Saccharomyces cerevisiae S288C: one gene and its partners. The protein of the gene in region 3 interacts with the protein of the main gene of each other region in a biochemical or structural test. Each region holds a gene or a part of one and is shown on either strand. Other genes may lie near its edges.

Region 1 (4,834 bases), on a different chromosome or scaffold from region 3:
TAAAGCTGGTTTAAATGTGTGAAACGAAGTCTCTTCGAATACTGTAAAATAACCCCACTGAATATACACAAACACACAGAAAAAGGATTAAAGTTAATAAAAAAAAACGACTCGAAGACTTAAAGGCAAACCTTCAAGTAATGCAGTCTCTGTAAAAACAACAGCAAACACAAATTTGCTAAATTTTGCTTAAAAGAGTCTCCTGAGAAACGTTTTCTTTTAATTTGGGTCAATAAAGGAAATTAACCCAGTAAAAGGCTTTAGAGAAAAAAAAAAGGAAGAAAAAACGAGAACGAGAATCTAGTATATGATCCTTGTGCGTTTTTCTTAAAAGATCAATGATTTGTGGTGCTTAGTTTCTTTTAGAATCTCTTAGAAAGTAGGTAATGTGTCTAATGACTAAAAGCAATTATTCACTTTGAACCTTTTCTCGTGCCAAATAAATTCAAAAAAAAGAAATTAAAGAAAAATTTTTCCCGTAACCCGGAATTAATCAACATAAATGCGTTTAATGCTGGCGGAAAGAAGTTATATTCGATAGTTTACGTAGGATATGTATGTTATTTCCTGGCAGTGGCCAGTAGACTTTGATGAGTAAGAAGGGAGGAGCGCATCTTCCTTCTTGGAACCGCTGTAGTCGGAGCGGAGGGGGTCGAGGGCCCCTGCTCATTGAATGTGGTATCTTGCATACTTACGTCCACTTCACTTGCAATGGCGTCTTGATCTTGGTGTAGTTCTGGTTCTAGCTCCGGTTGTGGTTCAATCATAGGGCTGGGACTAAGGTCGGGACTCGTCCACTTTACTTTTTTTTGGGAAAAATTTTGCCGTTGTAGGGTCTCAGCGGGAACAGCCAAGTCAGCTGCCGTCGTGTTTATTATATTTATATTTGTGTTTGTAAAATTGCTATCGGGATTGGCGATAAAAGTTCTGGCAAAAGATTCAAACTCCTCGTCGATATGAACCAGGTCTTGAATTATGGATTCAATGTTAGGTGTCCTATTCATCAGCCACTTTGATAGAAATTTAAATCGGGAGTTCAAACCCGGATCTGACATTAATTTTTCTGTCATTATGGAGGAATTAACCAAGATTTCGTTTCTTTGTAATTCTGATATTTGATTTAAACACGACTCCAAGTACACCAGGTCGTAAGTTTCATCCCAGTCCTCCATCTCTCTTAACTTGTTCAAGTCAATGGAATGTACCTGATGAATGACGGAACTCAGAGTGTCGGTTTCATCAAATTTCATTTCTAACTCGTGTATTTTGTTATAAAGCTGACCACTGATCATTCGGCAATTACTAATCACCGGCTGCATCTCGGCGGCTGTACTTTCCTCCCGTTCAAATAATAGTATCAAATTATCCACTTCTAGCTTGACCATTTGCAAAAACCGCCTTTTACAAAGTATTAATGATTTCAAGGTCTTGGCTACTTGATACGTTTCCACTCCTGCATACGTTTGCTGAACACGATTGACGCACTCGTTAATGGCTAACTGGATCTTTTCTTTGTTTAGTTTGTATTTCGTTAGCTTCAAAGAAATCATCTTCTCTTCACGTTCGCGTAACTCTTCGATTTGTCGCTTTTGTTCCGTAATCATTTTCAAATAAGATCCAACGTGTCTACTCAAAGACTGCTGATTTCTGATTATTTTGGTCTTTATTTCTTTAGCACGATTTGCATATTTCAAAGTATTCAATGTCTCATCATAATGTGAACTGCTGGGCGATATGCAAACAATCATGACTGTTTTGCAATTGCCACCCAGTGAAAATTTCAACAGCCTAGTTAACTTGGAATCCCTGTATGGAATATGACAGCTTCTGCTGCCATCATTCAAGCACAACGCGTTAATGCAATTGCCCAGTGCTAGTAGGGATCTATTTATATTCGCACCTTCGTGTAATCTTATACCACGGTTTCTTGTTGCGGCGGCTCTTTCGCTCCCAGCTAGATCGATTATTGAAAGTGTAGCAAATGTATGTTGCGAGGTCAAGTCTACAAGCTTATTTGTCTGCATGATGTGTATTTGCAGCACTGCATGAGATCGTGAAGATACTTCGTTTGCTTCCGTCGGTGACGTAGTCCTGTTTATGTTTCCCTGGACAACTAAGTCCATCACATCTTCTACCGTATTTGGGTGGTGATACGACAAATTCGCCACTTTGATGTGGTTCTGCGTATCTTCTCTAATGACCAATCTTTTAGATGGTGTCTCTGGTTTCAAAAGGTCTCTGATTCTTTCATTGTATATTTCCAAGTAAGACAGTGAAATCTCGAAGTCTTTTTCGTCCTTCAGGTCTGTAATTTTATTGAATAGTTCCTCCATGGCTAGAAATATGATCCCCGGCTGTGAAGGTGTGCCACTCACAGTATATGTCTTGCCACAACCAGTAGCACCGTAAGCAAATACGGTACTGTTGAATCCATCTAAAACAGAATCTAGGAGCGGGCTGGTGGTCTCTTTGTATACACGGGCTTGGGAAGAGGTTTCATCAAACAATTTATCAAATACAAACTTGATTTCGCCACCGTGCCTTCGACGTTGCGAAGAAAATTTGTTCGTAGCATTGCTGTTATTGATAGAGGACGCAGTGGCCTTAGTGGCCCTTGCACGCATCGAGTTCAGGACCTGATCACTCACTTTGTTCAATGGGTTTCTATCAGCTGGGTCGAATATGAGCATTCTATCATCCACACAATCCACAATTTTACGTATACCCTCCGGTCTAATTACTTTTCTCCTCAGCAAGCTATTTCTTTTGCTCCGCGTAGAACCTTCTTCAGCGTCTATGTCTATATCGGAGTCGGAGTTATTACTCATGGGTAATATTAACGACGAATCCCCCAAACCGGGAAAGTTAGCTTCTGCACCACTAGCTTCATTGACCAATCTTGTTTTTTCCATTGACGTAAAGGGCCTTACTCTTATAGCTACGACTATGGAGGATTGTCTTGTTTCAGGCACGTTCATGTTAGTGTCAATAGTATACAGCTGGAAAGAAAACTCAAGTAGTTAAAGAATGCAATGAAATGATAATCAGATAAACGATGCAATCAGGGAATATGAAAATTTTAATATAAAAAAAAAAAAAGAAAAATCAACAGCTTCGAAACACTGATCTGGACTTTTTTAACCTGCAGATATTTGTTACACGCAGATTATAAATTTTGTCTCTATAGGAACAGCTGAACACTATACTGGATACCGATGTTCTACCGACCAGACGTGAATGTATCTGGTCCTTTTGTATCCAAGGATAAGACAAACCAAACCCATACTAAAGTCATCAAACAAGGCATAATACAGGTAAAATAAACAAAACAAAAACTAAAAACACGGCTAGCTAAGGGAAAAAGTAGTAATGACCTAGGGTGAATAGCTTTTTTCAATTAGGTTTTTCCTTTTTTGTACTATATTAAATAGGGCTAAACTGTTTTAAGCATAGGGCAAAGAACTTATAAATTAGGTTTGAAAAAGGGCCATGAAGCCTTGTAGTAAAAAGAGACCAATTAGAAGAGTCATGGAAGATTCGTAAAACATAGAAACAGTAACAATTATAACAAAAAAAACACAACTGCAAGAAACTTCAGCATCGTCATGTCATTTAGATTCAACGAAGCTGTGTTTGGTGATAACTCTTTCAATGAACGAATACGGGAAAAGTTATCTACGGCTTTGAACTCACCGTCTAAAAAGAAATTAGATATCTTGAAAAGCGGAATTAAGGTACAGAAGGTGGATTTTCCTACAATACCACAGCTAGAAATTCTGGACCTAGACATTATCACGCAGCCCAAGTCTCTGGCCAAGGGGATTTGCAAGATTTCATGTAAGGATGCTATGTTGCGGATACAGACAGTCATAGAGTCGAATCTTTTATTGATTAACGAACAGGATACACCCAGCTTTACCATGCCCCAGCTCATCAATAATGGATCGTTCACAATTCCTATAACTATGACGTTCAGTTCCATCGAGCTAGAAGCCATCACGAATATTTTTGTAAAGAACCCTGGAATTGGGATATCCTTTAATGACGTTGATTTGGATTTTAAGTTTGATTGTTCTGTAAAAATTCTCCAAAGCACCATTGAGAGAAGGCTAAAAGAGTCCATGCATGTAGTGTTCAAGGATGTTCTTCCTTCTTTGATCTTCAACACGTCACAGAACTGGTTCACCAATCGCGGCGAGAGCACCAGTACCATCCCTGGTAAAAGAGAGCATCATCATCAACAAACTACAATGTCTAGGAATGTAATCTTGGACGGATCAGATTTTCAAGAGCTTTCTCCAATAAACATGCTACGTCTTTCAAGCATTGTGTCGTCGAGGTCAACACTGTCACTACATTCCACTGTGATGAATTCTCTTTCCGCTATACCTGGTTGCTTGGAAAGACAAAACTTGTACAGATTTATATCAAGGATGCCCTCTTTAAACAATTACTACTCTTCGCAATCATTTCCACAACCAAAGTCATCAACCGTATCATCAAAACAATTGGTAAAGCCATTCTACTGTTCCCACAATCTATTACCTAAAACAGTGTTAGATTCCAGCCAGTACGATTTGGCTACGATAACCAAGATTCAGTCTCGACTTTTCGATAGGAGTAACAGCAACGACGACAATGCCAAACCAAGGAGAAGAAAGATCAAATGCAAAAAGACCCGCACACCATCGAACCTACAATCACAAGGAGAACAGGCTGTTGATGATAGTACTGCTATTGAAACAGTTACGTCCACACCGGTCCAAACACCGATACCCGAGCTTGAAGAACAATCTCCCCCATATTTGAAAACAACAGTATCGATAAGGGATAA
Region 2 (5,061 bases), on a different chromosome or scaffold from region 3:
TGGTTCTTCAGAAGAAAACATTCGTAATTTATTTAAGGATGCAGAAGCAGAATATAGGGCCAAGGGTGAGGAATCTTCCTTACATATTATTATTTTCGATGAGCTGGATTCTGTTTTCAAGCAGAGAGGTTCAAGAGGTGATGGTACCGGTGTAGGGGACAATGTAGTTAATCAATTGTTAGCTAAAATGGATGGTGTTGATCAATTGAATAATATTTTGGTTATTGGTATGACCAATCGTAAAGATTTAATAGACAGTGCTCTTTTGCGTCCAGGTAGATTTGAAGTCCAAGTTGAAATTCATTTACCCGATGAAAAAGGAAGACTCCAAATTTTCGACATTCAGACGAAGAAAATGAGGGAAAATAATATGATGAGCGACGATGTTAACTTAGCTGAGTTAGCTGCGTTAACAAAAAACTTCTCTGGTGCTGAGATTGAGGGTTTAGTGAAGAGTGCAAGTTCTTTTGCAATCAACAAAACCGTCAACATCGGGAAAGGTGCCACAAAACTTAACACTAAAGATATAGCAAAACTTAAAGTAACAAGAGAAGACTTTTTAAATGCACTCAACGATGTTACTCCCGCTTTTGGGATTAGTGAAGAAGATTTGAAAACATGTGTGGAAGGTGGAATGATGCTTTATTCCGAACGAGTTAACTCAATATTGAAGAACGGAGCCCGTTACGTCCGCCAAGTTCGCGAGAGTGATAAATCCAGGTTAGTATCTCTATTAATCCACGGCCCTGCAGGGTCCGGTAAAACAGCTTTAGCCGCTGAAATTGCTTTAAAATCTGGATTCCCATTCATCAGGTTAATTTCTCCCAACGAGTTGTCAGGCATGTCAGAAAGCGCAAAAATTGCCTATATTGATAACACTTTCAGAGATGCGTATAAATCTCCACTAAACATTCTTGTTATTGATTCGTTAGAGACTCTAGTTGATTGGGTACCAATTGGTCCAAGATTCTCTAATAACATTTTACAAATGCTAAAGGTTGCATTGAAGCGTAAACCCCCACAAGACCGTCGTTTATTGATCATGACTACTACATCAGCTTATTCGGTACTTCAACAAATGGATATCTTGAGTTGCTTCGACAATGAGATAGCAGTTCCAAATATGACCAATTTAGATGAATTGAACAACGTCATGATAGAATCAAACTTTCTTGACGATGCTGGTAGAGTTAAAGTTATTAATGAATTATCAAGGAGCTGTCCTAACTTCAATGTCGGTATTAAAAAGACCTTGACCAACATTGAAACCGCAAGGCACGATGAAGATCCCGTGAACGAGCTTGTTGAGTTGATGACCCAATCCGCATAATTATTTCAAATTTTTCATGTCCTTGTATTTTTATTCTTTATCCCTTCCAATCAGAAAGGATCTAGTGAACAAGTTCTTTCCTCTATGGTATATATTTTAGTGATAAATTTTATAAAATTATCAAAACCAAGGCATCCTTTCCTTTTATTCTGTCATTGGAATCTGCCTGTCATAATTATCACCCACCGGGTAAAGATGATAATTTTTCAGTCGCTTTGCCCGAGAAGCTTTGCCAGGTGAAAAATTTTTCTTGGTGAACTAAATCGAAAGTAGATATACTTACAACTATAGAGAGAGTTCCAAAATAAACCATACAAACGCCCAGGAAACATCAAGATGGCCCCCCCACCATTCCGTCCTGAAAATGCCATTAAGAGAGCCGATGAACTTATTTCTGTTGGCGAAAAACAAGCTGCTTTACAATCTTTGCATGATTTCATAACTGCCAGAAGAATCCGTTGGGCTACACCTTCAACTGTTGAGCCAGTCGTGTTTAAATTCTTGGAAATTGGTGTTGAACTAAAGAAAGGTAAGCTGCTAAAAGACGGTTTGCACCAGTACAAAAAATTAATTCAAGGATCTACCGAAGGTTTGGTTTCTGTCGGTGCCGTTGCACGTAAATTCATTGATTTAGTCGAATCTAAAATCGCTTCTGAACAAACTAGAGCTGACGAACTTCAAAAGCAAGAAATCGATGATGATTTGGAAGGTGGTGTTACCCCAGAAAATTTGCTGATTTCTGTTTACGAGTCAGATCAATCTGTGGCTGGTTTCAATGATGAAGCCATTACTTCATGGTTAAGATTTACTTGGGAATCATATCGTGCAGTCTTAGATTTATTGAGAAACAACGCTTTGTTGGAAATTACTTATTCTGGTGTCGTTAAAAAAACTATGCATTTCTGTTTGAAGTATCAGCGTAAAAACGAATTCAAGAGATTAGCTGAAATGTTACGTCAACATTTAGATGCTGCTAACTACCAACAAAGTAAATCAGGAAACAATTTAGTTGACTTGAGCGATGCTGATACCTTGCAACGTTATTTAGATCAACGTTTCCAACAAGTCGATGTTTCTGTCAAGTTGGAATTGTGGCACGAGGCTTATAGATCCATTGAGGATGTTTTCCACTTAATGAAAATATCCAAACGTGCTCCTAAACCATCTACTTTGGCTAATTACTACGAGAATCTCGTAAAGGTCTTCTTTGTTTCCGGTGATCCATTGTTGCACACTACTGCCTGGAAGAAGTTTTATAAGTTATATTCTACCAATCCAAGAGCCACGGAAGAAGAATTCAAAACATATTCTTCTACAATTTTCCTATCCGCTATTTCTACCCAACTAGACGAAATTCCATCTATTGGCTACGATCCTCATTTACGTATGTACCGTTTATTAAACTTGGACGCCAAGCCAACTAGAAAGGAAATGTTGCAATCCATTATTGAAGACGAATCCATTTATGGTAAAGTTGACGAGGAATTGAAAGAATTGTACGATATCATTGAAGTTAACTTTGATGTCGACACAGTGAAACAACAGCTGGAAAATTTATTAGTCAAATTGTCTTCTAAAACCTACTTCAGCCAATACATCGCACCTTTAAGAGACGTCATTATGAGAAGGGTTTTTGTTGCTGCCTCTCAAAAATTCACTACTGTCTCCCAGTCCGAATTATACAAGCTCGCTACCCTACCTGCTCCGTTAGACTTATCTGCTTGGGACATCGAAAAATCGCTGTTACAAGCTGCTGTGGAAGATTATGTTTCAATTACCATCGATCATGAATCTGCTAAGGTTACATTCGCTAAAGATCCATTTGACATTTTCGCATCAACTGCTTCTAAAGAAGTCTCTGAAGAAGAAAACACAGAGCCAGAAGTCCAAGAAGAAAAGGAGGAAACTGACGAAGCTCTTGGGCCACAAGAAACTGAAGACGGTGAAGAAAAGGAAGAAGAATCTGATCCTGTTATTATCCGCAATTCTTACATCCACAACAAGTTGCTTGAATTATCCAATGTCCTACACGATGTTGACAGTTTCAACAATGCTTCATACATGGAAAAGGTTAGAATTGCCCGTGAAACTTTAATTAAGAAGAACAAGGATGACCTTGAAAAGATTTCCAAGATTGTTGACGAACGTGTCAAGAGATCTCAAGAGCAAAAGCAAAAACATATGGAACATGCTGCCCTACATGCTGAACAGGATGCTGAGGTCAGACAACAGCGTATTTTGGAAGAAAAAGCTGCTATTGAAGCTAAATTGGAAGAAGAGGCTCACCGTCGCTTAATTGAAAAGAAGAAACGTGAATTTGAAGCTATCAAAGAAAGAGAAATCACAAAGATGATTACTGAGGTGAATGCTAAGGGACATGTTTACATTGACCCTAACGAAGCTAAAAGCTTAGATCTTGACACCATTAAACAGGTTATTATAGCTGAGGTATCAAAGAACAAGAGTGAATTGGAAAGTCGTATGGAATATGCTATGAAGAAGTTAGATCATACGGAAAGAGCTTTGAGAAAGGTCGAATTGCCATTGCTGCAAAAAGAAGTTGACAAGCTACAAGAAACAGACACAGCAAATTATGAAGCTATGAAGAAAAAAATTGTCGACGCCGCCAAGGCCGAATACGAAGCCAGAATGGCTGATCGTAAGAACTTGGTCATGGTCTATGATGATTATTTGAAGTTCAAGGAGCATGTTTCGGGCACTAAGGAAAGCGAATTAGCTGCCATCCGCAACCAAAAGAAGGCTGAATTGGAAGCTGCCAAAAAGGCCAGAATTGAAGAAGTTCGTAAGCGTCGTTACGAGGAAGCCATTGCAAGGCGTAAGGAAGAAATTGCAAATGCTGAAAGACAGAAGCGTGCTCAAGAACTCGCTGAGGCTACCCGTAAACAAAGAGAAATCGAAGAAGCTGCTGCCAAGAAATCAACTCCATACTCTTTCCGCGCAGGAAACAGGGAACCTCCAAGTACACCAAGCACTCTACCAAAGGCGACCGTTTCTCCAGATAAAGCTAAATTGGATATGATCGCTCAAAAACAAAGAGAAATGGAAGAAGCCATCGAACAGAGACTAGCCGGTAGAACAGCTGGTGGGTCCTCCCCAGCTACTCCAGCTACTCCAGCAACCCCAGCAACCCCAACTCCATCTTCTGGTCCAAAGAAAATGACTATGGCTGAAAAGTTGAGAGCCAAGAGATTGGCCAAGGGGGGCAGGTAACAGACAACGCAAAATGATCTACTTAATTTATACCGTTTTTTATACGTATAAGAGTATGTGTACATAATAACAATTTATTAGACTATTTCTTTCTGATTGCTTTTTCATGTCAAAGGAAGGAGCAGAAGAGCAGTAAAGATGGCAGTTATTTTAAAAACGAATTTCGAGAAATAGTTGGTATAAATAACTATAAATAACGTTTTACTGTTTTAAAAAAGCGATCCGTTAAAAGGCCCTAACGATTCTTTAGAAACTTGAAACGTTAGCGGAAGAGCACTTTGTTTTAAACCGTAGTAAGAATTTTTTTATATTTTATTTCATTTACTTATTTTTTTTTTTTCTTTACTCCTTTTTTTTATGTTACTTAGACAAATTTCATTATATTAGGTAAAGCTAAAGGATGGTAAAAAGTCTGAGTGGTTCTTTTAATTAAGGTAGCAAAAGTTGATGAAACTGGAACTTCAAAACAGTAATAATATAGTAACAATAAGAAATAAAAG
Region 3 (3,743 bases):
TTTACCTTCTAATGAATTTTAAGTTTTGAAAAGCAGAAAATCAGATATTGAAACTATAGATCTGCTTACCTTGAAGTTCACTATTTTTGGAATTCTCCTTGCTAATAGTTACTTCTACTCTTGCTTTGTCCTGGATATCAATGGAAGATGTCCTCATTTCCATTTTTTTTTTCAATTCGACGGCAAGGCGGGAGAAAAGGAACTAGGGATACAAAAATGCAATTACTAATGAAATCCGTGAAATAATCATGGAAATGGGTGATGTAAGAATCTGATGAAACAAGTACAAATGTCTTTGGCCCATCAACTACGATGAGACTTACTAAGCTTTCATCAAATGCAGGTTAGAGAAGGAGAATGGTTTTTTTTTTTATTTTTTGTACATAGATATTAGAGAAATATAATAAGTAGATTATAGATAAGATATCACCAAAGAGATATAACAGTAGGGGGAATTTTTTTTTTTACAATATACTTGAAATATAGAAAGGATAAGGAGGTTGGGGGCGAGAGTGAACCTTAAAATTCCTCTTCCTCAGCGTATGAGTCGGCACCCACTTCGATGTAATCTCTTTCTAAAGCAGCCAAATCTTCTCTAGCTTCGGTGAATTCACCTTCTTCCATACCTTCACCGACATACCAGTGGACGAAAGCACGTTTGGCATACATTAAATCGAATTTTCTATCGATTCTCTTCCAAGCCTCAGCAATGGATGTGGTATTTGACAACATACAGACGGCCCTATCCACAGTGGCCAATTGTGAGTTTGGTGTGGCAGTTGGAGGTTCGTAGCAAATACCGATCTTGAAACCAGTTGGACACCAATCAACCAATTGGACGGTCTTCTTGTTTTTCACCTGCTCGACAGCTCTTTGAACATCTCTTGTTACCACATCACCCCTGTATAACAGACAAGTAGCCATGTATTTACCATCTCTTGGATCACACTTGACCATCTGGTTACCAGGTTCAAAACAAGCGTTTGTAATTTCTGACACAGAGTTGGACTCATGGAATGCCTTTGATTTGGATAAGACTGGAGAATATGAAACTAAGGGGAAATGAATTCTTGGATATGGAACCAAATTGGTTTGAAATTCGTTCAAATCTACATTTAATGAACCGTCGAATCTCAATGATGCTGTAACAGATGATACCACTTGAGCAATTAGGTTGTTTAAGTTTGCAAAGCTTGGTCTTGGGATATCCAAGTTTCTTTTGCACATGTCGTAAATAGCCTCATTATCGACCATGAAAGTACAATCTGCATGTTCCAATGTAGTATGTGTAGTTAAAACTGTGTTGTAAGGCTCAACCACAGAAGTAGACACTTGTGGAGCAGGGTATACGGCAAATTCCAGCTTGGATTTCTTACCGTATTCAGCGGATAGTTCTTCCAACAGTAAGGACCCTAGACCGGAACCAGTACCACCACCAAGAGAATGGGTAAACAAGAACCCTTGTAACCCATCACATTGGTCTGCCAGTTTTCTAATCCTATCCAGAACATCGCCCAAAATTTCTCTACCAACGGTGTAATGGCCTCTTGCATAATTATTAGCCGCGTCCTCCTTACCACTGATCAACTGTTCTGGATGGAACAAGTCCTTGTAAGGACCGTTACGGACTTCGTCAATAACGTTGGGCTCTAAATCCACGTAAATAGCCCTTGGAACGAACTTACCGTAGCCGGTTTCATGGAAAAACGTGGAGAAACCCTCTTCTCCTCCCTTCGGCTTTGAAAGGCCATCTTCTAGATGTCCATCCGGCTTAATACCGTGCTCAAGGGAATATAATTCCCAACAGGCATTACCAATCTGACAACCAGCTTGACCGACTGTAAAGAGAAATCAAAAAAAAAAAAATTTTGCGTTGAAGTTAGTAATGAAAGATGAAACGCCAAAATGAACTAACAAAAAAAAGATCTAGCCTGGACGGGCAAATCGAACATACCATTAATACTAATAACTTCTCTCATTGTTTGTTTGCAGTTGTAAGTTTACAGATCTTGGGTGGCGAGAACTGTTGTAGACGGATATACTGAATTGGGTAAAACGATATAGTAGATGTTTTTGTTTTGTTTTGTTTTGTTTTGTAGTTTAGTTTTTCCCTTGGCTCGAGGCGTTTTCGCGTGGCATAACCCGGCCGGAAACTACGGTGATATTATCGTCTGGCACATATATATATATATATATGTAAACTATACTTATATTAATAGTTTCCGATCGTCTTATTACTCACTTACTATCAATGGAAGCACTATTTCATTACTTAAAAAATACTTTCTATTGCAGGATCTGAAACAGTCAGTTATAATGGAAAAAGTATGCAATTGTGTTTTCTTAAAGAAGGATACAGATATTTATATATGTTAGTTCCTCTGGAATATATCGCTAGATGCATTAAACATGAAGAAATTTGCCGTATGAATTATTCCTGTATGTACACCAAATGTGTCATGATCTTCTTGTTTCTTCAATGTGGCGCTGGCATTCGAGAGTGATGATGCTTGGTGTGAGCACTTGAAATGTCTCCTCTTTAAGAAAGACAATCCTATCCTTTCATGATCAAGGGCTTCTAAGGCGTCTCTCAATGCCAATTTCAAATCGGTAGGGTCTGACACGGTCTGGTAGCATTTATTAATGCAGTGGGTAAGGAAGAGGGAGGGCTTGATAATGTGGTTGGCTGAAATCGGATGGCAGTGCCCGCCATTGATAGACTCAAATTTTACTGTCTTCGTACAGTGGTTGAAGGTCAGTATGAGTTTTGACTCGCAGATCAAATGTATTTTGTACTTTTCAGGAGTCCTTGTTCTTTGTATACGCTTATTGCTGAGTTGCTCGTGAACATTCATCTCACAAACGAGTTCGTACTTGTTCTTATTGATTTTCTTTGTCCTGTAGATGAAACTAATGAATGAATATACTCTAACGAACTGCTCAAACGACAGGGTACATAGGAACTCGAAGGAGGATTTTGGATGCTTGAAAATAAAGTCCCTGAAGTTTAGAATGTTGTTGATATTTTCGATCTCGTCCTTGTTTACTGGATGGTGATATTCCTGTGCGCATGCAATTAGTTGTTTACCAGACCTAACTTTGCTCAATTGTGCCTTTGTTTTTGCACAACCAATGTAGTTTGGAATCTTCCTAATTAATTCCTCGGTACTATCTCGCTCAACATCACGGCCGCCGCCATTCCCGATCACAATTTTGGGCAGGATAGGATGTGAAACTCTGTCCTCTACTGTGCTGGGCACAGGCGACGGTGGTAGTTTCAAATCTGGCAGCTTTATGGCGACCGGGGCCAAAGGGGGTGAGGGAGCCGTTGCTTCAAACTGAGGTCTTGGGGAGGTCATAGGTGTGATAATAGGCATCATTGCGGCATGATTTCGTACAGCGACAGGGATAGTGACAACCTGTTGTGACCAATGGACGGGCGTATTTGTGCTCATAGAAGGCAATATGGGTGTTGGCAAGCACCTGGGGCTGGAGTACCCAAATGTCAGCGAATGTTGTTGATCTAACGCCAATATGATTGGGGGCAGAACGGGCGATAGGCACTGCCTGCCTGGAGGTGTTCTGGGAACGTGCGCCTGGTTGTTGTTATATACATGTAAATAGTCCATTGAGTCTTTACCAGGTTCTATCTTAACTAAAGAACTACTTCTACACAAGACTTAAGGCACCTTCATACGAAAACCCTCTCCACGATGGCGTTCAATCTTTCGTCTTTATATACA
Region 4 (4,773 bases), on a different chromosome or scaffold from region 3:
TCAATTTCAAGCTTCCCCTTGCCGAACAAGAGGCCTTGTCCTACATGATATTCCCTATGCCCGCTTGGTATTTTCTCACTGAATAAGACATGGTGCATCTTCTCATCCTGGGCCAACTTGTTGTAAACCTCGCTTTTCTCGATTTGAGCGAGGATGTCAACCCTCTGCAGCTCCATAGGTTGGCGGCTCTTGGTCGCACTAATCAACTCCGCTGGCGTTTGCGGATCATTCAATGATAGAACACCGGCATCATCGGGCCACGCCTTTACAAACGCACCAACTCCTAATGTAAAACCTGCCGTAGGCAAAATTACTGCCCTGTTGACTAATTTAAATAGAAATGGAATAGTTCTGGACATATTGGAACTCACCCTCGATCTATCCTGTCATTTGGTCATTGTCTATAAAAATAAATACCTTGTTTTATATCCACTTTTCGAAGCGGTCCCCTTTCGGCGATAAAGGATTTCGTAAGCCCGAAGGCTTTAAGAAACTTTGCAGCACAAAAAAAAAAAAAAAAAAAAAAAAAAAGATCATCAACTATGACGCTGCCTGTGTTGTCGCTAGATCCTCATAATTCACTATCAAGTCATTATAGTTTTCGGTATGAGTTATCTGCAACCCATGCTCATTGGCTAAGTGTAGAAGGCATATAAAACAAAAGCTTGTTGAAATGTCCTTTAGTGTATCATCCGAATACATTTTACTTATACCCTGAATGATATCAGAAAACTTGAGCTCCTTTGTTGATTCATCTTCTGTGTGGGTTTCACTGTCATTAGAGCTTTGTTCTCTATTTTTCCTACTGTCATGTTCTTGTATCAAATTGTTGATCGATCTCCATACGTTTTTCTTTAATCTTCTTACGTCAACTTTTTTCGAAACTCTTGAATAAGTAACTTTATTTTCTCGAATGGGGAACTTATGATCTTCGTCATCCTGTAAATCAAGTTTCACACTGGCCTCCTCGTTATCATCTGTTCCTTCGAAAGCTTGGTTGAAGTCAACACCGTCCATGTCATCTTCAAACGGATTATCGAGCGCTCCACCCACCACATCACCAACCTCTTTAGACTGCTCCTTTTCTTTTTCCTCTTGTTCTTTCCTTTCGTAATTATCCGCCCAAAAGTGCTCATCTGCAATAGTAGGAATGTCGTTATTTGAATGGTTGGCAGAAACTGTGCTTTTTTCAAAAAGCCCCGAACTAACGTCGCCTCTGGTATGCTTCCTATGACTGAACAGACTCATTTTCTGCCCCGGTTTAATGAACAATCTTGTTATTCTATCAGTGGAAAAATGGAAGTCATCCGGCAGTAAATAATGTGTGTCGTTCTTTCTGTTCTTAATCGGCATGTCAATCTTTGTCCTTCCTTTTGAGGCAAAGACTTTGTCTTCAAAACTATCATCCGTTTTGAAGAAATCAATTTCCAGAACCTTTTTTTGTTTATGCTTCTTCTTCGTATCCATCGATTTGTCGTCCGTTGTGTTTTTGTCAGTAGTATCTCCTATAGTAGTTCGCGTTTCTTCCAACAGGTCGGATTCTTTATTCACTAAGTTTGCTTTCTTAAAATTTCGTACTTTCCAATGTTCTCTCCCTCTCCAGTTTCTATTTAGATTTTCGTCAAAGTATGCCATCAAATCTTTTTCGAATATACTTCCTGTGGTACTGTTGACATTATCATCATCTTGTTCATCATGTGATGTATTGTCATGATTTTCATCTGGATAGCACAGCTCCTGTTGCATGCCCATATCAAAGCCATCGCTATCATCTTCTGCATTATCTGGGACAGCTGCTTGCAATTCTTCTTCAGTTAAGAAGTTATCAAATCTGTTGTTAACATTTTCGATAAAGTCTTTCGCTTGATTAATATCTTCGACAACGTTCCTTAGTTGCTCAATCGATCCTGAAATTTCACACACCGCAATTTGATCAAATTTTATAAAATCCATACCAAGAGATAAAATCTCATCTTCCATGGAAGGTGCACTAATAACGGAATCATTTACGGTTGAGTCATTACGAGTACTTATCAATGACTGGCTAGGTTCATTTTCGTCATCTACTAAACTATCTCTTTCAATTAATTCTTCTTCTTTCCTTTGAAGTTTACCTTGCCCTACGTTTTGTGTATCCTTAATTGATGCATCGAAAATGACTCTTGCAGTGTTGTCTATGTTTAATGTGTTCAACAATAAACTCTTGGCGCCACCTTCATCGAAATCAACCAAGGCCTTTTTGAATAATGGATCAATTATTAATTCCTGGTCTAGCTCTTTCATCTTGATCGTTTCGAACTCCACCAATGTTGTTTCTAAAACTCTGTTGTACACTCTCCGCCTAGTGTTATTCACATCAGGATCATTAGATATAGGCATACCAGTTAAGGGATCAATCTCTATATTTGCTTCGTCACTGTCACCTCCAAGCCCTTCACCATTTCCCCCGTTACTGTCATCTCCGTTAGATGCCCCATTCGTCTTTCTTTGTGCCAACCCGCTCAATAACTTACCTGTTTCCGTTGTCACTGAATCAACTCTCGAAGAGTAAATCTTAATACACCCATCCAAGGTTGCAGATGCTTTCTGAAAATTGATGTTATTCTCGCCATCTTTCAAAACGTCCAAGTCATAAAAATAGTCGATCAATGCGAAATTCCAACTATTTCGGGAATTGATTTTATTATCTGTAGCCATTTTGATCCATTCTTCAAAATTTGCCATCATGGTGGATCTATTGGTAAAGAGATTATATTCTACTCTTTCATCGTCATCGTTATTTTCATACCTTAGTTGTGTAGTCATCTTATATAACTACCTGCTGGTTTTTTTTGCTCCAAAAAGTCCACTAAGATGATTTTTTGGTGCAATAAATAGAGTATTTAACTAGCCAATATAAAAAGTTCAACCATATGGATATTATCTTGACAATACTTCACTAAAATGTAAACAAAGAAAGCGCGAACAGAGCCGTTTACCGTTTCGCGTGATCAACATCACATAAAATAATTAGTGTATTATATATATATATATATATATATATATGTATATATCACTTATTTTAATAATCCTCTCCTAGCGTACACGGATGGCAAGAATAAACTGGCTTCAGGAACGTTCTCTTGTCAAAAATTTGAAAAGCTTGTAACCGCCAATAGATAACATACCGAGTGTCAGAGATTCTAAGAATTTCAAGATACGTGTTTGCTTTCCAGCCCTTTCTAAAGCTCTAGAATACGAGATATCGGATCTGAAAGATATCATTGTATACAAAGGTATCCACTTATCCTTCATTATAATACTAAAGAGAGCATCTAGCTTTTTCCTTAATAAAAACCGCTTGGATGTAACGTCATGTGACATTTCTTTATAGTTCCTTTTTGCCAGCTCAGTAATAGAAACTAGGTCCTTATGTCTTGTTTGAGTGTACTCAGTAAAGGCTCTTGAACGATCTCCTGAATGCTTTTTCAATAGCGCCATAAGAATTCTCACATCTTCAAATCCGCAATTCATACCTTGGCCGTAAAATGGAACCATTGCATGGGCAGCGTCGCCGAGTAGGATGGCCTTTCCGCCTGGTACATCGTATGGCTTACAGTTTACACAGACAAGACTTTCCTTTGGATAAGTGATAAACCTTTTGACAGCATCGTCCAAATCCATAATATTAATAATATCGGGAAAGTTCTCGATTAAGAATTCCCTCACACGTGACTTGGAAGTTATCAGATCTGATATTTGATCTTTAGAACCGAAAAAGGTTGAAGTGAACGAGCCGTCACTGTTGGCGAGCGCAATTAACATGAATTTATGACGAGGCCAAATGTGCAAATGGTCAGGAGCTATTGCAAAATTTCCGCCATAGTTTGGCTTGAATTCCTCAGTAGGCGGGATGTAAAGTTCAATGTAACGTAAATTCATATATTCTTGTGAAAAATCCATCTCAACTTTACGTTGCATTTGCGATCTCGTCGCAGAGTATGCTCCGTCACAACCTATGACAAAATCATACTTTTCAGTATGTGGGGTTTTCAAATCTTCCCCAATGGCAAAATGACAGATTTGTTTATCATCTGTCCATTCGATTTTGACTAATTTGTGACCGAACTTCAGTTCTGTTGTAGATTTTTCTAATTCGTCCAAAAGGCTATTATTTAATACAGATCTATTGATAGAATTAATAGCTTCTCCATGCAAGCCATACAATTGTGATTCCTGTCTGCCTTTCAAGTCATGAATCATCCTGCCTTTCATGGGAATCATATCTTGCAGAATATGTTCACAAGCATCCGGATCTATTGATTTCAGAGCATCAATGCCACGAGCAGAAATAGCCAAATTAATGGATTTCAAATTTTTATTTTTGGTGGTGTCCAATCGAGGATCTTGTCTAAAATCATATAGTGTGACATTGTAGCCTTCTTTGGAGAATGCCAAAGCTGCAAGGCAGCCTACTAATCCTGCACCTATAATGGCCACTGATTCAGACATATTTTCAAGTTAAACAGATTAACTGACTACGTGATTTTTTAACTGTCATTCAATATTTTATTATTAAAAACAACGTCCGTGCCAGAAATTCGGGCCTTTTATAAGAAATAGTGGCGGAAAAAAGAGTCAGTGCTAAGAATGGAATAAACTAGAGGCTATTGTGGGAAAAAAAAAAACAACTCCAAAATAAAAACCGCTTGCAGGCGATATTTCCTTATTTTTGTAGTAACTCATTTCCTTAGAAGAAAAGTAGGGGCATTATTTACCATAAGAATAATAATA

Evidence for each region.
Region 1: the proteins of TUB1 (region 3) and KIP3 form a complex in vitro, tested with the Saccharomyces cerevisiae proteins (4 studies listed by BioGRID).
Region 2: the proteins of TUB1 (region 3) and RPG1 form a complex in vitro, tested with the Saccharomyces cerevisiae proteins (one study listed by BioGRID).
Region 4: the proteins of TUB1 (region 3) and BRN1 form a complex in vitro, tested with the Saccharomyces cerevisiae proteins (one study listed by BioGRID).

The regions. Positions count from the first base shown.
Region 1 is NC_001139.9:83,029-87,862, reverse strand, and holds KIP3 (tubulin-dependent ATPase KIP3), read right to left. Parts: upstream 2,979-4,834; coding exon 561-2,978; downstream 1-560. Other genes in the region: ERMES complex subunit MDM34, read left to right, coding at 3,606-4,834.
Region 2 is NC_001134.8:394,883-399,943, reverse strand, and holds RPG1 (translation initiation factor eIF3 core subunit a), read left to right. Parts: upstream 1-1,666; coding exon 1,667-4,561; downstream 4,562-5,061. Other genes in the region: AAA family ATPase SEC18, read left to right, coding at 1-1,330.
Region 3 is NC_001145.3:97,422-101,164, forward strand, and holds TUB1 (alpha-tubulin TUB1), read right to left. Parts: upstream 1,980-3,743; coding exon 1,955-1,979; intron 1,839-1,954; coding exon 520-1,838; downstream 1-519. Other genes in the region: YML083C (uncharacterized protein), read right to left, coding at 2,373-3,629. UniProt on the Saccharomyces cerevisiae protein: Tubulin is the major constituent of microtubules, a cylinder consisting of laterally associated linear protofilaments composed of alpha- and beta-tubulin heterodimers.
Region 4 is NC_001134.8:38,863-43,635, reverse strand, and holds BRN1 (condensin subunit BRN1), read right to left. Parts: upstream 2,806-4,773; coding exon 541-2,805; downstream 1-540. Other genes in the region: MRX3 (Mrx3p), read right to left, coding at 1-359; BNA4 (kynurenine 3-monooxygenase), read right to left, coding at 3,109-4,491. UniProt on the Saccharomyces cerevisiae protein: Regulatory subunit of the condensin complex, a complex required for conversion of interphase chromatin into mitotic-like condense chromosomes.